Linked DNA regions of Lytechinus pictus. The protein of the gene in region 1 interacts with the protein of each later gene in a pairwise test. Links are inferred from orthologs where the notes say so. Each region holds a gene or a part of one and is shown on either strand. Other genes may lie near its edges.

Region 1 (7,708 bases):
GATTTCTTTCAAACTTTCACCATTCTTATGTTTCTCCTTTTCCACACAACATTTTATGACCAAGGCTGGATTCCCCTTTAACACTGAATATGAATCTTTACCCAAAATGAATATTTGTGTCAAATTTTATGAGCACAGGCTGAAAACTGAGAAGTAGATTGATCCACAATGAGTTTTCCTGCATTTCTAGCTATCATATGTGGTTACCCTGGCAATGCACTTTCTGACAAATGCAAAAAAAAAAGGTTCTTGCACATCTTACCTCAAGGCCAATGTGTGAGCCAATTTCATGAAAATTGGTTCAAAACTGATGAAGTAGTTCAAATTGCAAGGTTTTTACCTAAATCTTGCCATATAATATGTTGTTACCATGGCAACACAATTTCTGAAACACACACAAAAAGTGCCTTGTACATCTTTACTTCAATACCAATGTGTGCCGAATTTCATGTGAATTGAATGAAAACTGATGAAGCAGTTTGAATTGTAAGTATTTTTCCAGTTTTCACCATATAATATGTTGTTACCATGGCAACAAGATTTCTGAAAGACACACAAAAATGTGTCTTAGACATCTTCACCTCAAGACCAATGTGTGTGCCAAATTTCATGAGAATCGGATGAAAACAGAGGAAGTAGTTCTAACTGCAAGATTGTTACCTTATTTTTGCCATAATACACTGTTACCATGGCAACACCAATTCCAAAACATGCAAAAATTTATTTTGCACATCTTTACCCCAAGACCAAAATATGTACATACACACCAACATTCAACCCCTCCACCAAGTTCTCCGCCACCCTTAGGCTTGTTTAGCATCTGCATTCAAATATATGGTGCATTGAGATGTGAGGACAAACAGAACATCTGTTCAAAAAGGGTCTGAATTCAAGAACTAAACCAATGCAAAATAATGCACTGCTATTGAGTTTTGCACTGGCGCTAGTCTATATATCAGACCAATTTAAACTCATAAATTCTGACATTTTCACCCATTTTTTCACTGTTCCTGCAGCCAGATTTTTTGGAGCATACCCCATTTTTAATTCTTATACATAAACAAAGGTCTGGAGAAAAAATCATGCTTTTGTCCACCGTGTCCACAAGTAGGGTATTTTTGACGCTAACAGACCGGACTATAATGACAAATACATTTACATGTCAACGCTAGTAATGTGTGAAGAACCATTCTTTTCCCCTTGTGTATCTGTTATCAACCCCCACCCCCAAAAAGAAATTCAAAAAGAAATTTTGATGAACAAAGAATGTCATTACACCCCAGCCTGTCTGTATAGAGCATGTCCCATTCAACTTAGGCATCCCCCTGTATATAGACACGTTTTCAATTGGTTATAAAGGGGATGTAACTTGGAGGATCATACGAAACAATGTTAATACTGTAAGGGGGAAAAAGAACAAACAGTTGTGACCTTTTTGAGCAGCCCACGTGTTGTGTCCCATAACACAAATTCCACCCTACCCCAACGGCACAATGCCTGCGCAGGTCTTGAGAATGGAAGAATAACAGCATTGCTTCTTCAACATAATTTCATTTATTGATTTCCATCATTTCAAGGGGTCGAGTTCTGTATGATCCCCGGCGCAACCTCCACCCTTTCAGAACCACCGTCGGTTCAGTAATAGGATGACAGGGAAAACGTTATCTCAAAGCCCCGTCGTTCGATTTTGTTCGCATTACGACTCACTCCCGTAGATTCAATTTTGGATTTGACGGGTCAGTTGAAATTCAATAACTGCTCCTGTGCTTTTGCCCCCTGCCATGGGGGGAGATTTGCCCAGTGGTCATGCCCCATTCTTGCAAGATGCACGATTTTATTAAATGACAGTATCCTGAAGTTCTTACATGTAGGTGTAGTGCAGTGATGGGAGGAATGGAAGGTTTAGGTGTATCCAGAGAGAACTGTGCATGTTTTGTATCTGTTTGTGATGGAAATCACTTTTATTGTGAATGATGTTCTCTGCTATTTGCTGGTAAATGACTTGTGGGTTTCATGATTTGATTATTTTGTTATTCAATCAAAATATAATTATAAACTAATGTTTTGTAATTAATTTTATGTCATGAATACAGGCCTTAAATTTTGAACTTTTTTTTAGGGCAAGGCCACTTCCCAAAAGGGTACCTTATATATTTAAAGGACAAGTCCACCCCAACAAAAAGTTGATTTCATAAAAAGAGAAAAATCCAACAAGCAAAACACTGAAAACTTCATCAAAATTGGATGTAAAATAAGAAAGTTATGACATTCTAAAGTTTTGCTTGTTTTCACAAAACAGTTATATGCACATCCTGGGTGGTATGCAAATGAGGAGACTGATGACGTCATCCACTCACTATTTCTTTTGTATTCTATTACATGAAATATGAAATATTCTCATTTTCTCCTCATTGTCAAGTGAAACAACGCTTGATTCCTCCATGAACAGTTGAAACTAGCATTGCTTAAAACTATATGATTCAGTCGAGTTGGTCCCTATTGTCAAATCTATAAAAAATGAAATATTGTATAATTCAAACAATAAAAAACAAAAGAAATAGTGAGTGATGGACATCATTGACTGTCTCATTTGCATGTCACTGAGTTGTGCATATCACTGTTTTGTGAAAAATAAGTGAAACTTTAAAATGTCATAACTTTCTTATTTTACATCCGATTTTGATGAAATTTTCAGCGTTATGCTAGTTTGATTTTTCTCTAATTATTCAAATCAACATTTTTCTGGGGTGGACTTGACCTTTAGGTACAGTTATGGAAAGTTACAAAGGACCTCAAAATATTCAAGGCCACTGAAAGGGCCATTTAAAGCCTTGGACTGCTTTTTAAACAATTTATAATCTGCATGCCTAATCGATATCAAAACTAGGATTAATGAAAAGGGGTAGGGTTGGGAGGTTCTGACAACACCACCAAAAGCCTCTGTTAGTCCTGGCTGCAACAGCCCGCGTTAGTGCATGTACTGTATGCATTGAAATGTCCGTAATGTCTTACTCTAGGTACAGGTAATAAGAAGGGACAGCATCTATTGATTACTGTACAAGCTCTGGTGACGGAGAGGACAGTAATACGAGTGATTCTCGAGGCCCTTGATTGGGTTCTTGTTTCGGGAGGGTGCATATTCTCCGCCCAATAAGCAACAGATTTCTAGGAACATGGAAACCTAGACCCCATTCCCACCTTCATTCTTAAACCAGTTTTTTTAATAGTGGCAACCAGTTTAACGTGTAATGGGAATGCTCAAAGCAGTCTTGGAAGCGATCTTAAGTGGTCTTCAAAACCAGTTCGGAAATCCACCTTGCAATGTGGTCTTCAAGACCACTTTACCTTGTTAAACTGGTTAACCGGTAAGGACACAACTGGTTTGCTTAAATTGGGTGTGCGAATCAGTACATACGGTACAAACAAATGATGTTTAAATCCAACATTTTGGGGATTTCTCTTAATCAACAGATGGTAGTTTCACATAATAAATTAACCAACCTGATATGTTGGTTGAAACATTTCTTGGAGTGTGGATTAAGGGGTGCATAATGAAGAAATGGGGGAAAGGTCCTTCTGAGCGAACTGTAATAAATTTGAACTAAATTTATATATTTTGTAATTAAATTACTTAAGAATATATTTAAAAAATGAAAGAAACATGCAAAGGGAATGAATCTATGATTCCTATGGGTTCCAATCTTGGTCAGTCATACATGATGAAGGAATCCAACTTGAATTGTGTACTCATACTCGATACTCGGTATTGACAAAGGTCCCGTCTCTGTTTGCGCAGTTCTGATCCTGGAAAGCAAAGTTCAAACTGCACTGGGTCCGTGGTGTCAGAAAGATATATCAATGATATTCATGGAATAATTATTGATTTGTCTTACAAGGCTACATACATATGTGTCTGTGTTCCCCTAACAAGTGCAGACATACTTGCACATGCGAAGAATAGTTCTTGATTCATTCATATGCTGAGATAGTTTACCCACATGTGCCACATTAATAATTGATGTACATGTATACATGGTTATTTTGATTGCGCGATTAATATTTTATTAAATTGATACTCATGTTCTACATGTACATGTACATGTATGCAGGTCTGTGAGTCAAGCTTCTATATTATCCACTGTAAAAACTTATATTAAAAGTCAGTACTAATACATTGTGAAAGAAATGGAGATGATGGTATGGGCGATGCCATAGCTGAATGCTTGAGCAATACAATTTTCATTGTTATCAATGATACAGGTATAGTGGGTAGCCATGTGAAAAACTGATTACCAATATCAAAATGTTTAGTTGGAGGTGAATTAAAGGTGAAAATGGTGTGTGTCGCACGGGACTCATAAATGTCCCGTACGACGACGCAACATTTTATCCTCTAATTCACCCATCGACGACATTTTTCTGTTGGTTGTAATTTTTTTTTTTACATGACTTTCAAGTAGTACTTTATTACTACCACAAAACAAGTTGAAGTTCCTTATTTTTTTGGACAGCAGGTTGAAAAATGTCGTGAAAATGGCTGATTTTTCTAGCATGGAATCGCCCATTTGTGTGTCTCTTCTGTTCTGGGTATACAGTCATGATACTTTTTAACACTTCAACATTAAAATGTTCTTATTTTTCTCTCTTTTCTCTCATTTCCTTTTTTGTAGACCTGAAAAGAGAAGCATCAATATGTCACATGTTAAAGCATCCACACATTGTTGAATTATTGGAGACATACAGTTCAGATGGACTACTCTATATGGTTTTTGAATAGTAAGTATATCTTTCACGTTCTTTGGCAAGGCCTAAGTCCCATTTTTGCCACTCTCCACCCAGGTGGAGTATATATGTAACTTTTAATCTGAGAATAGATATCTTGCAAGCTCTAATAACTTCATACACTATACAGGTATATTTCAGGGCCAAGCAGAGTTTATAGCTGACGAGGCTATCCTGATTAAATAGAAATAAAAATAGAAATGAAATGAAATTAACAGTTCCTAATCATATTCTAATGGACACTGCCTATTTCATTAAATTTTTGAAAAGTTATCTGCCTTGACTTCAATTATTGATTGATTTTAATATCCAATGTGCATTTGAGATCATGTCATATGAAGAACTTAAAATGAAATATAAATATTACATATAAAGAATAATCAGGTACATGTAGGTCTATAAAATGATGAATTATCTAGCCATGGTTATCAAAGCATTACAAGTCACGCTTCATGATTTCATAGGAAGTCTGACAAGGAAGGTCTTAATGGGTCATTGACTTGCAAGCGTCATAGATCATGATTTGTAACTCTCGTGAATGAGTGCTAATAAAATAAGAAAAATGATTTAGTTCTCCTCAACTGGTCCCCCGTGAATACATGTAGGTGTAATGACAAATATGAGGATTTATCAACGTATGTAAATCATTCATGTAATTTGTCGTCTCTTTTGTATTATGTATCATTATATGCAGTATAGTTGATGCTCAATTTCTGTATGATTCTTAGCATCTCAGTGTAAAGAAAACAGATGATATATGCACTATACATGTACACACCTTTTTTCTATCATTTCAAATGGACTGCTTTCCGTGAGAAGGGGATTTATTCTATCCCCAAATATGACGCTGCAGTCACACCCATAAAACTGACTCTCAGCCGACCGATCGTATCTCATTGGAAATAACGTAACAGCTTTGATCACTCTGTAGTCGGTTTCACCGGTGTGTCTGTAGCAGTAGTGAGGTTCAAGTTGGTGAGGTTTACTTCATGCAAGACCAAGATGGGATTGCCTACGAGCGATGTCCATTGATGGGAGAGAATTCCTTGTAGAAGAAAAAAACTATCATGCTATTTTTAGCCGTGGATGTTTAGGCCAGGCATTCTATAGAGTGATGTGCGTGCGTGTTTCCATCAATTTATTCGATTGAGAGGATGCCTGCATCTTTTGTTTAGGGGGGTTGGTGACAGTTCCGAGGGCTAGAATTTAGCTTATTCTTTCAAGATGTTTCATATTTTTTACTTTGCTCAGTAATCTTAAATGTATGTTCAGCCTTTGAGAAATGGGCATATCTATTGTTATTAGAATTAGAAATGAACAAAATACGTTTTTCAAATTCTGGGAGAACTTTTTATCAATGTATTGTGTTTGAAGCTATGCATGTTTCAAATAGATGAAACTATATTTTTATTGATGTTGCTTATTGACCATTTTGTCTTATCAATAGCTTAGAGAAATTGGATGAGGGATTTGGTCGACTCCGCCCTCAAACTGTTCAAAAGAGCCCTTGCTAAATCCCCATTCATGACAATGCAGAATGTTGCAGTAGGTTACAAAAAGTAGATTAAAAAATATATCTTCAATACATGTATATATTTATTTTAACTTTTTATATAAAATGCAATTTGAGTAAATAATCATTGGGACTTTACAAAAAAAAAAGTATCTGGAAACCATTTCCACGCATGGCTTGTCAGTACAAATTGTACGAACTTGTTTTACCATGCAGAATACCCTCATTTCATCATATAAAAATTCATGTCTGTTATTCCTTTCAATTATTTACAATTCTACAACCCTCTTTTTCACAGTCTGTTTTGACAAAGTAGATTTTGGATCAATAAAATATAGATTTCACCACTCCTCCATTTCTGACAGCATGTATGTAGTCTGCCTTCCAGGCAAAACTGTATTCAAGAAAGGGGAAGAAATATAATGTGGATATATGTCTTTCCATGTTATTGGAATCGTAAGAGCCCGTCTTCATAATCTGGAAATGGCTTTAATAAATTCTTTTAATTGTATTGATTTTTTTGTTGGTAAAATGAGATTTGTGTTTAGTATGTAGGCCTATTCCATTCCTACAGTGTACACATTGAGTAGGAGCTAGTTGTTGATGCACTAAATTTTTTAATACTGCATGTACAGTACAAGAAATTCAACTTGTCTGAAAGGCACGCTACATGTATTTATTCCCATGAGTGGTGAATTATGCATATAATGATTCGCTTTGATGCAACTAGCTATGCATGCTGCAGTGATGAGAGGACAAACGTATCAGCTTGATAATATTTCAGTCTTAGTTTGCATTAAAAATGTCATGTAATATTTGTTTTCCTTGAATTTGCATTGTACTTGACTCAAGTAGAATCCCCTGCTATGAATAGCAGTATACTAAAATGAAAATATAATACATGTACAAAAATATTTTCATTCACTAATCAACATTTTCTTTCTCTTTTTATTCCTCTCTGCTATATTTCTTCCTTCATATATTTTTCCTCATCTCTCTCATAATCTTCCCCCCCCCCAATTCATAAAAAACTTTGCTTCTGCCCCTCTCGCTCTTTTCTTCACTTTCGTGTTTGTTTATGCTCTCTCTTTGATGTTCTACCTGTTTTCTCTCTTTCTCTCCCCTCCTCTTTCACCCTCCTTTCTTCCATTCCCCTTCTATCTCTCCCGTTCTCTTTCTCTCTTCGTTCTTTCCCTATCTCTCCTTTTCCTTCTTGCTCTCACCCTCCTATTACCCTGTGCAGTATGGAAGGAGCAGACCTGTGTTTTGAGATTGTCAAAAGAGCGAATGCAGGCTTCGTCTACAGTGAAGCAGTATCAAGGTAAGTAACTTAATATTCATACCCCTTTCACACTGACCATTCTGGGGATACCCAGATGTTACCTGGATGAAAAATGAAAAATTCCTCCGGAC
Region 2 (7,706 bases), on another chromosome or scaffold:
TCGTTCTGTTGACGAAAAGAAAGGAACGAAAAGACGATCAGAAATATTGCATCGATTGCTGCATTCAATGATCCACGATACTATCCTTTCAAATATTTTGGGGTGAGATACAAATACAATCTAACTCATTTCTTTCTTCCCACGTTCACTTTCACTACCAGTAGAAAATTCAACCACAATTCAAGCCCCCTTCAGACACAAACATGCATCATAAATTTCAACAATCCAACCTAATGTGTCCAATACATTCTAACGAAAAAAATTTTAAAAAATCACCATCAATCTCAATACTACGAACATCATTCCTCAGTTTCCTCACATAATTTGCAAACTGTAATTAATTGATGGAATTCCTTCTCTTTTTATCTATTCTCTTTAACGCTCAGAGATATTTTCGTAAAAAGTGCTACATAGATGTTTGGATTATTATTATTCTATCAGATTAAGGCTTAATATGTGTACTGTAGATCCAGTCTGAGGTTACTTTGATATTCCATGTATGTCACATGATTTACACCATGCTGAGTACTGTCATTTGCTAACTTATCATACGGGTTACGAATACCATCTGGGCCCCAATGCATAAAAGTTACCATAATGGCACTTACCATAATGGCACTACCATGATGGTATGGTAATAAGGCTAGACAGCCAATCAGAATCAAGGATTCCATGAAAGATACCATTCGAAAGCACATTTACTATAATAGTAACTTTTATGCAACGAGGCCCTGGCATAATCCAAACAAAAGTTGATTTGAATACACGCACAGAAAACAAATTCAGATGCACTACATGTATAATACTCAGTGATCATTTATTTTAATGATTTCCCTTTTTATCAATAAAAAGTGATTCATGAAAGCAATACATTTATTTTCCTTTGTTTATTTACTTTTATTACACTGATGTACATATTTGCATATATTCACTTGTTTATTCAATCATTCATTTATTTAGTTATTTTTCAATCATTTATATGTTATATTTCTATTATTAATATTTATTTATTTTATTCATTTATTCATAAATTTATTTATATATTTATCATACTATTATAATTTTTTTATTTATTATTATAATAATAATAATTATCACTATTATTATTATTTAATTATTATATATATATATTTTTTTTGGAGGGGGGGGTATTATGGATTGCAATGACAAACTGAACATTCACAAATCATAACGACGAAAACGAATACTCACTGTGGATGGTGGCCCCCATGATGTCCGTAGGGGGACTCCTGGACGTACGGGTTCTGTCTTCCTGTCGGAATCGGCATCGTGGGTTTCGTTACGGTGTCTCTCGATCTCAAATTCTAAGATTCATCAACCACCTGAGGAAATGATATGAATATGAAATAAAAAAAGGTTGACTAGTAGACGACTAACAAAAAATGTCGAAAGTGGTCTTTGGTACATCACGTGGAAAGTCATAGAAATGACTAAGAAAAGTGAATAGAGGTACATACTCCTAAAGACAGCCAGTCAACCTGCCTGAAAGTTGGGTTTTCTCGCCGGCTCCTGCTCTACAACTCCTTTCACAAATTTTCAAACTTCCCTGACTTTCCATGACCACAAATCTTTCCAGGATTTTCCATGACTGTGGGAACCCTGTGAATGATGGTATTTTATTGTGAGGGGATGCAATTCTTGGGTATGTGCATTTTAACAAGCCTTTTTATTGTTTTTTGTGCATGCCCAATTATTTTGTTCATCTATGTTTTTATAATTATGTGACAACCATAATTTTATCATCACCACTATTTGTTTCAGTTATGTTCTGTTGATACCTACATGTATGCTTTGTTTTATGTTATTTATATCTCCTTTGTGTATGTATAATTTTGTTCTCATTTTGTTCATTTTAATGAATATGGAAATAAATGCTGAATTGAATTGAATTCTGCATTATCCAGAGTTGAATTCTATATAAAAAATTGTAAATTGTATCAGCAATAACAACTATCATAAATAGTTCACAAGTGATAAATAGTACTGTAAGTATCAAAGGTAGTCCTGAACTGAAAAGCAAACACACATGAAAAGTTATCAGAGATGATAAAATTGTACCTGTACATTCCAAAGGGCAAGTATTATCTGTAGACATAGATGTTGAATTGCATTGCAAAGCAACTGAATGTAAACAATAACATAGAATAAAAACAATTAATGATGTACAGTATGTGAGCCAATACAGAATTTACGAGTAAAATAAAAACCAAGATACTCCCGCTCTCTCATTCCCAAGCTCTTCCGCCCCCATCCTCCCCCTGCCCCCCCCCCCTGCAAAAACAAATGTGTTTGGTATCGGTTATTGATCAAACTGAGAAGAATGTTGTTTTCATGATATCAAAGATAGAAGTAAAAGGTGTACAAATGTATCTCACACAGGGTGGGAGGGGGGGGGTCATACAATTCTGGTTAATTTTTTTTCTGGTAAGGCATTTTTGCATGTAGCTTTGAACCCCTATATCTTATTATCCAGTAGCCTACTGGATCTGGGCGATCCCTGTATAAAGCCTATGAGAATTACAGAATCCAGCAGTCGAAGGGTTAACAGTGGAGTAGCCCAATACCTTCATCTGTCACTTCCAAGTGGGACTAAAGTCGGCAAAGAAAAATCCGCAGTCAAAACAGAAGTATTTTGCAGCCACTTTGGTTAATGATTAAATCCAAATTAAACAGGAACTATATCCAGAGTCGGTGGTATCCTGAAACTACTTGCAACTGTATGAAGCATCAATCTGCAGTGAAACTAGTAGGTTTTTATAACCATGTCCTGCTTCGGCTAAATCATTAAATCCAAACTTAAACCGACACTAGCACATCCACATCTCCGTAGTATTGTTTTGTCCAACTTCTGAAACTAGCAAAGGTATGTAGCAGCAATCCGCACTAAAAAAGTTAAAACCAACTTGGCTGCGGGACTGGCTAAATCCAAAATTAAACCAGAACAAACACGTCTATATCTTTGTTGTATTTCTTTCTCCAAACCCCGAAACTACAATGTAGCAAGGTATTCCAAAATATCCAATTTACTGCATTTCACTTGAAGCGCACAGGAGGACTTGATGACTTTATTCTAGGAGGTAATAATAATACACAAATGCAGTCAGCACAAGACCATGTACACACCTATCAATGCAATGGGCATATAATAGTTCTGGTTCTTTGCCCATATTCTTACCGCCCCATATCTAAAGAAGACCAATGAACCTTGGACTATGACGTTTCAATAGGACGTTTTCTAAAAGAACACAATGGTGAGGGTGTGTTCCCACAATAAACTTTGATTGCATGGCATGTCGTCCACATCCGGAAGGATATGTAAATCTGTAATGATGGCATACATGAAAATGTGATGATTGCATTTGTGAAATGATTGCCTAAATGAAATCATTGCCTGTGCCTGTATCAACTTTTTGCCTACATTATGACTGCCAAAATCAATGACAGTATTGATTCAAATGGTTGCCCAAAAGATTACTCATGATTGCAAATATTTGAAAATGACTGGCAATTTGATTTCCAAATCAAATGGGTGAAAACATGCAATGATTGCCAATATTTGGCAAACAAATCCTACATGTACAAAACACAATGATTGCCAATACAGGGATTCCAAATTGGAATTGAAAACAATGATTGCCAACATCAAATGACTTTAAAACACAATGATTGCCAATACAGGGATTCCAAACTGAAATGAAAAACAATGATTGACAACATCAAATGACTTCAAATTGCAATAATGATTGCGTAGTATTTACTTGCCAGAATGCAATGATTGTTTTAATTCAAATGATTGCCCAAAATTGTCAATATCAATTATAAGTACGGTACTAAATTAACACAAGCTCATGATTAATGTCAGTGATTTAAAATGAAATCAATCGAGGGATTGATTTTTTAATGATTTTTTATGAGCAGTGATTTTGAATGGGGGTCTGAAGTAGTCATGTGTGCCCTATTTGGACCTATGATTATTATCGTTATTATTACGATTCACTAAAAAGTATGAACAGACCCAAATCATACTTCTAAACAGCAATAGGTCACATGGGATCCTTCACAATATGGCTATTAATACGCTTTGCCATTCCTAAGCACTGGTTCATCCATGGGTGTATTATGGAATAACCAATGCACCGTGTCAAGGAATTTCATAACAATTCATAAAGCGCTTTTGTATAAAATGACAAGGTTGCGTTTCTCTATTTTTCAAAGAATTGTTCATGAAACCATGTAGGGAGGCTCTGGGTTGGGCACACATTCAGGGGATCTCACCCAGTTGATCATTTTCAATTCTTTAGTTATTTTTTTTTTTTTGGGGGGGGGTTTTGTTTTAAATCTTGGAATAAAAACAAGGAGATTGGATGGGTCGGCTAATGATACAGAGGTGTGAATATGAATAATCAATTGTAATACGCAAAAGAAGTGTACTGGAACCTGAGATCCCGAACACAAATCACAGCAACGGACTGTAACATTTTTCTAGAAACAATTACATTGACTACATGTACGATGTACAATAAATTGAAGATATTGTTTCTAGGATCAGCCTCTAGGCATGTATACAATATGGATCTGGGTCATATCTGTTGCATAAATACTTTAAAGCTAAATTACAGTAGTTGCAGTAAAACACTAATTTCGTGAGAAAGTCTGTAAAACCAAGGTTAAGGATGACTATATCATCGTGGATCTAGATATGGTACAGTTACATAAACTGAACTTTGTGAAATCATAAAATCTAAGCTGAAATACGATCACACTGAAGATCGCCAACACAGATAGGCACACGTGGGACAGTGTATTATTATTGCTGGAATAAAGACCCGACGGAAGTGACCGAATCCGCGCTTATTTTGCTTATTTCTCAGCAATTACACAATTTCTTCCAGAATCCTTTGGCACATATTTTTTATTCATACAAACAGACACTTGGGTGGTCATTATATTAGATTCCGTAAAAAGTCATTTTGAGATCGTTACCAGAACTGGAATTTACCTTTAATATCACAAATCCACAATTTCTATAACAAATTTACTCTTCAGCAAATGAAAATGAGTTATGACAGTAGCTTGGCTTTTAGTGAAAATTTTTTATTATGGAAGATTTTAAGGAACTGACCCTCAGTGGTCGATAGAAAGGCTTCCAGAAGACAATCATGCCTGGCCATCCCTTAATCTCCATAAAAAGATCTAGGGGCTCTTTCAAAGTTTCAAATGAAACCTAAAAAGTTATTGAACTACCAACTCTAATTTCTTTCTCTGCTGTGGCACACATAAGTGTGTGTATGCGAGTGTGGGTGGGGGAATACCATAAGTCCTTTACCGGGAATCCCATTCGGGAAGGGGGTAAGCGTCTTTTGCAGCACTTTTCCTGTGACATACCCCGTTGCTTTGTCTAGTATGATAGATGCTAGAATTAGTGCAAAAACAAACCTTGCAGGATTCCAGCAGGAATGGAAGCGGATGGGTCTTTTGCAGACCTGCCAACCTCTGGTAATGAAAAAGTGTATTATGTGATTAAAAAAAGTGTATTTTTCCCCAAAAAAGTGTATTTCATAATAAAATGTGTGGCGTGCTCGCTCATCGCGGCGCTCAAGCTGCATGCAAGCTAAAATGCGCACTGCTCTTGCAGATGAAAAAAAAAAACATTTAAACAATGTGTAAATCTCACCCTGGTTTTAACAAAATGATTGAAAAAAAAAGGACCAAATTACCTGAAATTACATTGATCTTACAACCATATTTGTGTAAGTTTTATGAAATAGAGACATACATAAAGAGATGATTTTCCTCAATAAATTACGATGTTTGTACTGCCGTATTTTGGTTGCAAAAACGTACTAAATACGCCCAAAACGTACTGGTTGGCAGGTCTGCTTTTGGTCAGGCTCCTGGTGCAAATATTCCAGAGCAGAATGATTTTTAAAAAAGAGTTTGTCACATTTGGGATCTATAGAGTGGCTGAAATAGAAATTCTGATGACAATCGAGTAAAAAAAGGGGGTCCCATCCACCATCCCCTGCCCCCATCTAGCCCCCTACAGACCTGTTGATATGCCCCGAAGCAGTGCCATCGCTGTACTTCCCCTTGATAAGCCCCTCTCCTTTCCATTTCAATGTAGAGAATAGTCCAGGAATTCTATGTATGCCAAAAAATTGTTTGCCTTTATTGCAATTTCTATAGATAGTCCAAATCCAAACAGCTTTGTGTGTCATTTCAATACAGAAGGCCAGTTCATCTCGCCATAATCGAGCTTCATTCTTGTTGTATTTGCCAAGCAATTTTTGCGCAATTCATTAGGTCAATTTCCTGGGTGTTGATCTTTACCAGTTGCCGTGGCGACTGGCATATTACCCATTTCTTGCAGATTGTGAGCTTGAATGCATAATGAAGAGCATTGTTAATAATGTTGGAGTGAAATGACATGCCAAACAAATGGTTAAATATGAATAGAGGATGTGGTACATATTTCAAATATCTGCAATAATTGTGTTTTGACGGGTCTCAGTGAAGTGTCATTCTATAAAGAAAAACTTCGCAACTTCTGAAAAAAATGTCTTAAAGATAAATACCAGTTGTGGTACGATCTCAAAACAGAATCCAATAAAATTACCAACAAAGTGTTTGTAAACAGTGTATAAATTAAAAAATATGTGGCAAAAGGCTCTTGAAAAAAATGTGAAATTGATGAGAAATGAGTAAAATAAGAATGGAATTCCATCAAATGTTGGGTAATTTTCCAAGCAATATTTATACACTGTCACACATACACTTTCCTGTATTAGTGATCATCAGAATTATCGGTTTTTAGCTAATATTTCATGATTTCTCAAAAGTAAGTGTACATTAATGTGCCAGATGTAGATATGTATGGTAAAAGAATGATGACAATTAATCTTGATTTAAAATATTTTCTCATGAAATATTTTTTTGCTGGAAGTATCTTCTTTTACCTTCAAGCGTTTTTTGGCACACAGGACCTCTCACAAGATAGCTATTGCACTATTTAAAGTTAATAACTTTACCACAATAATTATCTTAAAACCAAATACTACTTCCTATCCCTCTTTTCATTCAAAGTGATCGGTCCTTAACAACAGCTTAACATTTCAGCTGGAATAACACAATGCCAGGGAAAAAAACCATTACATGCTTGACTGAGAAAATATGTCTTCGTGTATCCATAGGAGTATTGTTGTGGTGAAAATATTTCATAAATATTACGATTTCAGCAACATTCTTGACATTCCAACAGGATGATTTTTTTTTGCGTAATCCCTCACATAATTCCAAATCAAGTTAATTGATTACTTTTGGTGGTGTTAGTGGCAAGCTGGTGGGAATGCTTTTGATTCATATTAATGGCATATTTCCTGAGAAACGGAGGAATGGGTACTGTAAAAAGAGTAAGCCAGGGAAAAGTATTTAGAATTATTAATGACAAACTTGACACAGTGGTGCAAGAACTGAATACGTACAAGTAGCATTCTATACTGTGTAATATCGAGAAAGGGTTTTTACCTGTTCAAGTGTCACAAACAAATCAAAATTATTGTTAATTCTTCTCAAGTAAACAGATTGAAGGGGAAGTTCACTATGACTTCAAATTTATCTAAAAGGTCAGTCCAAAACTTTGAAAAAACACCTGCAAAACCCAAACTCACACTTGCATCAACTGTAGA

What was found.
Region 2: the proteins of peripheral plasma membrane protein CASK-like (region 1) and epidermal growth factor receptor kinase substrate 8-like protein 2 interact in a two-hybrid assay, tested with the Caenorhabditis elegans proteins (4 studies listed by BioGRID). The link is inferred for Lytechinus pictus from reciprocal best matches to the Caenorhabditis elegans genes lin-2 and eps-8.

Annotation. Positions count from the first base shown.
Region 1 is NC_087260.1:13,511,892-13,519,599, forward strand, and holds the start of peripheral plasma membrane protein CASK-like, read left to right. Parts: upstream 1-4,671; 5' UTR 4,672-4,699; coding exon 4,700-4,776; intron 4,777-7,538; coding exon 7,539-7,616; intron 7,617-7,708. UniProt on the Caenorhabditis elegans protein: May play a structural role in the induction of the vulva. May be required for the localization of signal transduction molecules (such as let-23 receptor) to either the basal membrane domain or the cell junctions.
Region 2 is NC_087250.1:9,625,305-9,633,010, reverse strand, and holds the start of epidermal growth factor receptor kinase substrate 8-like protein 2, read right to left. Parts: upstream 3,166-7,706; 5' UTR 2,586-3,165; intron 1,344-2,585; 5' UTR 1,290-1,343; coding exon 1,213-1,289; intron 6-1,212; coding exon 1-5.